Danio rerio: one gene and its partner. The protein of the gene in region 2 purifies or fractionates together with the protein of the main gene of each other region. This does not show direct contact. Links are inferred from orthologs where the notes say so. Each region holds a gene or a part of one and is shown on either strand. Other genes may lie near its edges. The genes, in order: eif2s2 and cdc123.

Evidence for each region.
Region 1: the proteins of cdc123 (region 2) and eif2s2 purify together in Homo sapiens (affinity purification with mass spectrometry; 4 studies listed by BioGRID and IntAct, counting the BioPlex papers as one, with this or other methods). This does not show direct contact. The link is inferred for Danio rerio from reciprocal best matches to the Homo sapiens genes CDC123 and EIF2S2.

What each region holds. Positions count from the first base shown.
Region 1 is NC_133181.1:52,639,793-52,643,625, reverse strand, and holds part of eif2s2 (eukaryotic translation initiation factor 2 subunit 2), read right to left. Parts: intron 3,612-3,833; coding exon 3,511-3,611; intron 238-3,510; coding exon 89-237; intron 1-88.
Region 2 is NC_133179.1:8,360,597-8,365,020, reverse strand, and holds the start of cdc123 (translation initiation factor eIF2 assembly protein), read right to left. Parts: upstream 3,052-4,424; 5' UTR 3,025-3,051; coding exon 2,951-3,024; intron 2,683-2,950; coding exon 2,611-2,682; intron 2,518-2,610; coding exon 2,457-2,517; intron 1,546-2,456; coding exon 1,513-1,545; intron 24-1,512; coding exon 1-23. Other genes in the region: nudt5 (ADP-sugar pyrophosphatase), read left to right, coding at 3,559-3,612, 3,738-3,805. UniProt on the Homo sapiens protein: ATP-dependent protein-folding chaperone for the eIF2 complex. Binds to the gamma subunit of the eIF2 complex which allows the subunit to assemble with the alpha and beta subunits.

The DNA of each region.
Region 1 (3,833 bases), on a different chromosome or scaffold from region 2:
GAACTATAAAAATTATGAGAAATGGTTGATTTTCCATGTATTCACTAAACAAACTCAATCCAGAAAACGCAGCGTCTGCTTGACTCACAGTTTGCAGATGTCTGTGAAGTTTACGAAGGAGGTCTTCTTAGTGCCGACCCGCACCACCTGAGGAGGCTTCATCACAAACTTCCTCTTTTCTCCGGCGACCATGTCTGGATTCTTTTCCCTCATGATGTTAAAGACCCTGTTCAAAAGCTAAAATCATGTGATATTTTCAGTCACCTTTAATCTTAAGAGCTGATGCAACCAGTCATTATTTAACAAACTATAATTATTTATAAACTCATTATTTAGTCTCAAGAGTAATCAAATGTATTGGTGTCAGGAAAAATGCTTAACATGAAGAACAGGGATGTAATGATTCCCCATAATCCAGTTGAAACTCAATTAAAATATGTGAAGTTAGACAAATTGTACTACAGTGGGGGACCATTATGTTTGCTGCAAACTCTGTTTTAATTTCTGAGAAATTAAAATAATTTAAGGTGCTCCATTGGATTGATAGTGACATGACGCAATATCTTGCTGTAAGTAGCTATCATAAAATGTGTAGACTGTGGTCATAAGGGATGGAGATGGTCATCAACAATACTCGGGTAGGCTGTGGCGTTGACAATGCTCAATTGGTACTAAAGGGACCAAAGTGTGCCAAAAAAAATCCCCCAAACCATTATACCACCAACACCACCAGCCTGAACTGTTGATACAAGGCAGAATGGATCCATGCTTTTAAGCTGTTGTCGCAAAATTCTGACTCTATCATCCGAATGTTGCAGCAGAAATCGAGACTCATCAGACCAGGCAACGTTTTTCCAACCTTATATTGTCCAATTTTGGTGAGTCTGTGCAAATTGTAGCCTCAGTTTCCTGTTCTTAGCTGACAGAGTGGCACCTAGTGTGGTCTTCTGCTGCTGTAGCCCATCCACCTCAAGGTTGGACATGTTGTGTGTTCTGAGACGCTCTTGTGTAGACTTTGGCAAGTGGTTATTTGAGTTACTGTTGCCTTTCTATCAGCTAAAACCAGTCTGGCCATTCTCTTCTTACCTCTGGCATCAACAAGGCATTTGCGCCCATACAACTTCCACTTACTGAATATTTTCTCTTTTTCAGACCATTCTCTGTAAATCCTAGAGATGGCCGTGCGTAAAAACCCCAGAAGATCAGCACATTTAAAATAACTTTAATCACCTTTGTTTTTTCATTCTGATGCTCGGTTTGAACTGCAGCAAATTGTCTTGACCATGTCAACATGCCGAGTTGCTGCCATGTGATTGGCTGATTAGAAATTTGCGTTAACGAGCAGTTGGGCAGGTGTACCTAATGAAGTGGCAGGTGAGTGTATATTTTTATTGTACTAAGAAATGTGCAGTATTTCAGAACTAATAAAAGGCCACTTTTTCCTTTCATATCTCAATTCATTTTGTGAAAAAAATCATATCTTGAGATCTGTATTGTCAGTCTTATTTAATTATAAATTAGGTAAATGGTTACATCCACAGTAAAAAAAAAAAAATAGTTTCCGTTTTAATGTGACCCCACATTGTTTTTTTGGATATTACAATTCATGTAGCTTTAATAAAGCGGATTCTAAATGTAAAAGGTCTTTAAAATTTCTAAGATCAAACTGCAGGATTAAAGGTGTTACTGGCTCAAAGGAAAGAATCAGTTCTGAACTGCCTGAAAGAAGTCTTCATTACTTTCAAGTCTCATACTGGGTTCCCACTAACATAAACATTACAACATTTACTCTAGATTACCTAAGAGATGCTGTTCGCCTCATCCAAACACTTCCTCTCCAGTTAAATAATTTTCAAATATGTCACATAATTCACATCACCTGTCACAAATATTTTTATTGACTTAGTATGTGATCAATTTATCCAAATACTTGAAAAAATAGCTTTTGAACAAATTTGTATGGGGACACTTGCGTATAAAGTATGAAGTAGTTGTTTTTTGTTGAGCTGCTCTTTGCTGACAAAAAAGTTGGTACTCCAACTTTTGTGTCTTTATTTTGAGAATTGTCAGTCATACCCCTGATTTATTTTTTTTATATTTGGGAGAGGGATTTCACTTATTTTTCCTCTCAAAGTCAAATTTAAGACTTTTTAATAAATTTTTAAGACTATTATAAATAAAATTTTGGACTTATACGGAGTTAAACACTAAAGATTTTTTCTAATGGCCCAGTTGCTTCTGTTAATAGCTTTTGTATTAATGGAAGATTATGTAAAGGGATGTGTTGCTTTAGTTTTCTTTCCCGGATTAAGACAATTTGCTGTAAAAATGTGAGAAACAGCTGTTGTGAATTGTATTATTTGCAATAAATATAAAAATATATGTAAAAACATATAAAATAGATATTTTTAAAACATTATAAATAAAATATTAAAAAAACAATATAAACGTATATAAAAAAAATTTGAGATGGATTATTAGTGATGGATGTTGGACCGATTGGGTAGCTTTACATGGACCTAGGAAAATCAAGACCTGCTTAAAATGATTTAAGACCGATGACACAATATTTCAGTGAATTTAAGATTTTAAGGCCTAAATTGTTTTTTTAAATTAAAGACATTTTAAAACTTTAGGAGCCTATGGGCACCCTGTAGGAAGCTTTACCAAATTTGTATATGGCTTGTCTATAAGTTGTAGTTGTGGCCTGGAAGAGTTTGGGTTGTGCTGTTGACATGGGTCTATACACTGCCGTTTGAAAAAGAAAGGTTTTAAAACTCAAAACTTTAAAACTTTTTTTAAGGACAACAGTATCTCCAGCAGTAAAAGATATCCAAAGATGGTGTTTTAAATTGTGAGAAAAAAAATCTGCTTTTGACATAAATGAAGACAGCTGAAGTCAATATTTAACTTAAATTATAGCCTGACATGTTTACTGCTCCAAAATATTTTAAATGTTTCTTAAAATAAAATACATCGTGTTTGAAAGGGGAAAACGTTTTTTTTTTATCCAGACATTTAAAAAGAGCATATATTAGAGCAGTAATTACAATACCGTAAAACTGTGATATTTTTATCCAAGGTTATCATACCGTCAGCATCTTATACCGGCCCATGCCTAGACATGGCAAGCTTTTATTCTGTATTAAAATGTTTGTTTATTTTAACACTAAAACAACAGATGTGTCTAAGTTTAAATAAAAAATGACTATTGAACTAAACTAAAATTGTATTTTGCAACATTCTGGTTGTCCAAGGTTGCTGGAGCACATCTACAGTTTTCATGATAAACTACATGCATGTGATCTTAATGAGAACTGACTTCTACAACGAACTGACTACAACCAATAAAAATCCTCCGCATATCAGTAGTCATTTCCAGTATGTCTCATAAAAGACAAGTTAGCAGGTAAAATATACTCTGCCAATAAATGGACCAGATGGCAGAAGTCTCTGGGCCTTCATCACCTGAAACACACACACAGCAAGCCAGCCTTTTCTGCCATTTACCTCATCATAAGTGTAATCTCTTTCTGATCCTGCCCACGCAGGGCCCGTCTGTGTGCTGAACGTGATGTCATCAGCGTTTTTACTGTCATCATCTTCGACACCTTCCACATAAACAGCACACAATTAGACTGTAAACATTTCATTAGGGCTGCACAATATGTCATTTAAGCATCGATATCCCAATGTGCGCATTTGCAATAGTCACATTGCAAAGATATGCAATGTCTAGTCTGAATTATAGCTGACCAGGAGCCACAGAATTGTATTTAATCACTGCATGTATACGATTTATGCAAGAAAAAAAAAAACCTTTCTTACTTTTT
Region 2 (4,424 bases):
TTGAACTCTGGAAATTCTGGAGCCTGCAAAATAATAATAATAATTTAGTATATGCAAAAGTATTAACATAAGTTGACAATGAGGTAAAGTTGGTTTTATGTTTGCACATTCCGACTTTTTCTATGACGATATAATATTAGAAAAGTATTCCTTTACAAATTATAATTAGGGAAATCATATTAGCAGCCCGGCGAGGCAGTGGCACAGTGGGTAGCACGTTTGCCTCACAGCAAGAAGGTCGCTGGTTCGAACCTCGGCTCAATTGGTGTTTCTGTGTGGAGTTTGCATGTTCTCCCTGCCTTCGCGTGGGTTTCCCCTGGGTGCTCCGGTTTCCCCCACAGTCCAAAGACATACGGTACAGGTGAATTGGGAAGGCTAAATTGTCTGTAGTGTATGAGTGTGAGTGTGGATGTTTCCCAGAGATGGGTTGTGGCTGAAAGGGCATCTCCTGCGTAAAAACTTGCTGGATAAGTTGGCGGTTCATTCCGCTGTGGCGACCCCGGATTAATAAAGGGACTAAGCCAACAAGAAAATGAATAAATGGATATTAGCAGCCAATGACTGACTTAAAGTACAACACTGTTCACAGTCAATTGAATAGTGCTTGTTTTGATTGGTCATAAGGTTTCAGTAATGCAAAGTAATGTAATGTATTTTTTTATTCAATGCCATGTCAGCAACCAAGGCTATTTTCAAGGCAGGAACATTTCAATAATAAATACACAATTAAAAATCAACAAACAAACGAATACATAAATTAAACAAGAGTTTAAGTGTTAATTCACAAACACAGGCCAACAAAAATACATTATCTTACATTACTGAAACCCTATGACCATTTAAAACAACATTAGCACTATTCAATTGACTGTAAACAATGTTAACACATCATACAAATTCTAAAAGAAATATTCACTTTGCTAAAAATGTCCTTGAGAGATTTAATTTCATAAAGTCTTCTGAAATCATTAAAAGCAGGACATACATTTGTTCATTCATTTTCTTGTCGGCTTAGTCCCTTTATTAATCTGGGGTCGCCACAGCGGAATGAACCACCTAAAAGCAGGACAGTCCAGTAAAATATGTTTTATAGTAAGGGTAATTGTGCAAACACACAGTATCGGGTTTTCATCTTGGAGCAAAAAACTATGGGTTATTCATGCATGTCCAATACCACATCTGTTAAAAACCACTTGATCAAGTCTTAAAATTCTGTTTAAGATTTCAAGTTGTATTTCGTATAATTCATTATTTTCCAATGCATCCCACTCCTTTTGTTGCTTGTTTAAAATGTAAACATTGATAAAAGATGGGGAAATTTGGCATTTGTCCACCACTTGCTTCAAAGCATACTTAGCAGCTGCATTTATATGGTTTCAGACTGATAATTCAGTCAAAGTAGCACGGTAAACAATATAGGCACAGTGTCACGAGTTGTCACTGTTCAGAAATGTACAAATGCACGAAAATAAAGCCAACTTTACCTCAATTTGACTGAGGAATAAGACTCACTGTAACTGTCGTTGTAGTTTCATCATCAGTCCACTGGAATCAAAAGCATTTATGAGAATTAAGAAAGCTGCGTTATTTCAGATATCTTAATGTACAATATAGTTCACTCCAACAGCTTTGTTTTTGTGAATTGTGGGGACATTACGTTGCTTTCCATTGGACAAACTCTATTTTCTAACCCTACCCTATCCTTAAACCCAACCCTCATGGAAAACGGTATGCAGTTATACTTTCTGAAATAAACTAATTCTATTTGATTTATGGCCCGTTTCCACTGAGATGTACGATACGGGTCACTTTTTTTTGAAGCTTGCGTTTCCACTGCCAAAAAGGTACCCTGTTGGTGGACGTGGTGTACTACAGAAAGTTTCAGATGATGTAATTTTTACTCAAGGAAATGTAACGCCGTACAGGTTGTTCACATATCCTATGAGAAGCACTTCTCACGAAACAGATGTTTTATACACATAAATACTTGTGTATAAATGTTCATTACTAATCTTTCTATGAACAGGATTTGATTATAACTGCAGATCAATGATAATGCGAAATAACCTACTGTAACGTCTGAAATCATGTAAAATAAATAACTAGATGCAACATGTATGAACACATACAGACACTTACAGTCTCTGATATGTTATCAAATACAGAAAAACTACACAGAGCATACATTTAGTCCTTATTTGGGTTTAAAAAAACAACACGAAATATAGCCCACAGTCAGTGCAAACCTCTCATATGTAATCTTCAACAGCACATGTAGCCTCTGTTAGAAAGTAGTTCATAATAGTCCCAAAAGGTGATGGCTTTCTGAGCTTATAAGTACTTATAATACTTCACCACCACAATTCACCACTTTCTTGTAATATCTGTGTCATATCTATATCGTTATACAGATTTGTGGCCTGATATGTCACAAAAGCACATATACACACTCTGACCTGAATGTCCTCCTCGTCAGAGTCACTGTTGTTGGCCTGTGTTTGTAAATTGTTGTTCTCACTATAAAAAGACACAATAAGACATTTATTTCATAAAGACAAGACAGGAAAGTGCTGCAGTTTTTTAAGTACCATACTTTTGTCCAAATCTCACCTGCCAGAAACCACAAGTGTCCCATCATCTAATAGGTAATCGATTACATTTTGAGGTATGGGTAAAATCAGGCTGGGGAAACAGAACATATCATCACTGAATGTTTACCTACAACATAATACTTTAATTAAAATGTCGATCATTATTCGAAGACATGCTATAGTACGTATTATAGACTTTAAGATGGTAGGTAAGTGTGATGGTTGGAGAATAAATGGGTATTTAAGTACACGTTGCTATATAATGTTACTTAATAGCCTAGCGCGTGATTTTTTTTTCCTTTTTTGTACCTGTGAGCCCCGATCATTATATATTACCATAAAGTAAGCACCTTTCATACCTTTTAATAGTGTGTTTCTTGAATAGAGGATACCAAACAGAAAATTGACAGTTGACAACCTGCTCCTTCTTCATGCTGCCTGAAAGTTACACTGGTAATCTGTGCAACCTCAAAAACATTCCGACATGGCGATAGTACCACATAACAGCAGTTCCGGTTCACGACTGCGCATTTTTCTGTTTAAACGAAACTCTGTTTTAACCATCACTCTGAATTTTACACGCTAACTTACTTCTTTTATTTTAAATAAGTTGAACTGGTTAACAGTATTATGTGTGCAGCGATAACATCGAGACAGCAAGAGGGGGAACTATTTTAGCTGCACACACGCAGGCAGATGTTCGGTGAACACGTGATTACATGTGTGAAAACCAACTAAACAACATCACTTGGTTTGTCAGGATAAGTCGCTGTGATTTTTTTGACACATTTCCGCAATTTTGCTGGTATGTACCAATCTAACTTAAACGATTATGACATATTGTTTATGTCGTCATGTGTTAAGTCGTATAAATAGGCTGTGAGGTCATCAATGACAACATCATGCGCCTTGTAACTTAATTTCTGTTGTACGTGCAGAATTACTGTAGCTGTTCAGACTGATCAAGATGAGCTCTCCAACGAAAGCCACCACTACAGAACCTCATGTAATCAAAGAGGAGGTAAGAATCTGCTTTTAAAGGCATAGGTCCATCTTAAAGTTTTGATTTGTTATTATGTAAACCATCGAACGTTGTTATAAACTGCTTTTTCATACTAAATTTGACCTCTCTGTGTTGAATTTTAGTTGGTAGCGAGTGGAAATTGGGTGAAGCTTGAGAAAACAACTTATGTGGATCCTTCTGGAAGCACCAGGTATTGATCGACTGTATGTGAATGATATGTGACCTCTGGACTGAGTGGACGTGATGATACTCTCATTGATCAAAATAATCTGGTTTATTTTTTAATTGCATCAAACGCGCTGAAGTATTTTTCCTGTTTATTTCTAGATATATAATTGGAATAATCTGGTTTATAGTGTAGCAAAATGACAAGAAACAACAATCAGATAAATAATATTGTTTGAATTGGTTTATTTGAACAATACATATTTCCTTGTATGTAGGTTAGTGGGTTAATAACTAGATGATGGGGTAGGAAAATTTGTAGGTTGCTGTGATAGAGGTGGTAACACCCACCCCTGCTACCTAACTGGGCCCAACCTTCCTAAAAAAATTGGTGCAGATGCATTAGTTATGTCATTATTTGTTAGACCCTCACTATTTAAAATATAATAGAAAATTATGTTGTATATAATTCATAAGTCTTATATATGTCTAGACAAATATATATATATGTTTAGACCCTAAGCGGCCGGTTGCTTCCCTTATGGGTAAATCCACCCCTGTGTGATAGGTAGTTGAACAAATAAGTAGTTATTAAAGTAGATTGGTGGATTGGAATGTAATTGGATAGATAGATAGATAGATAG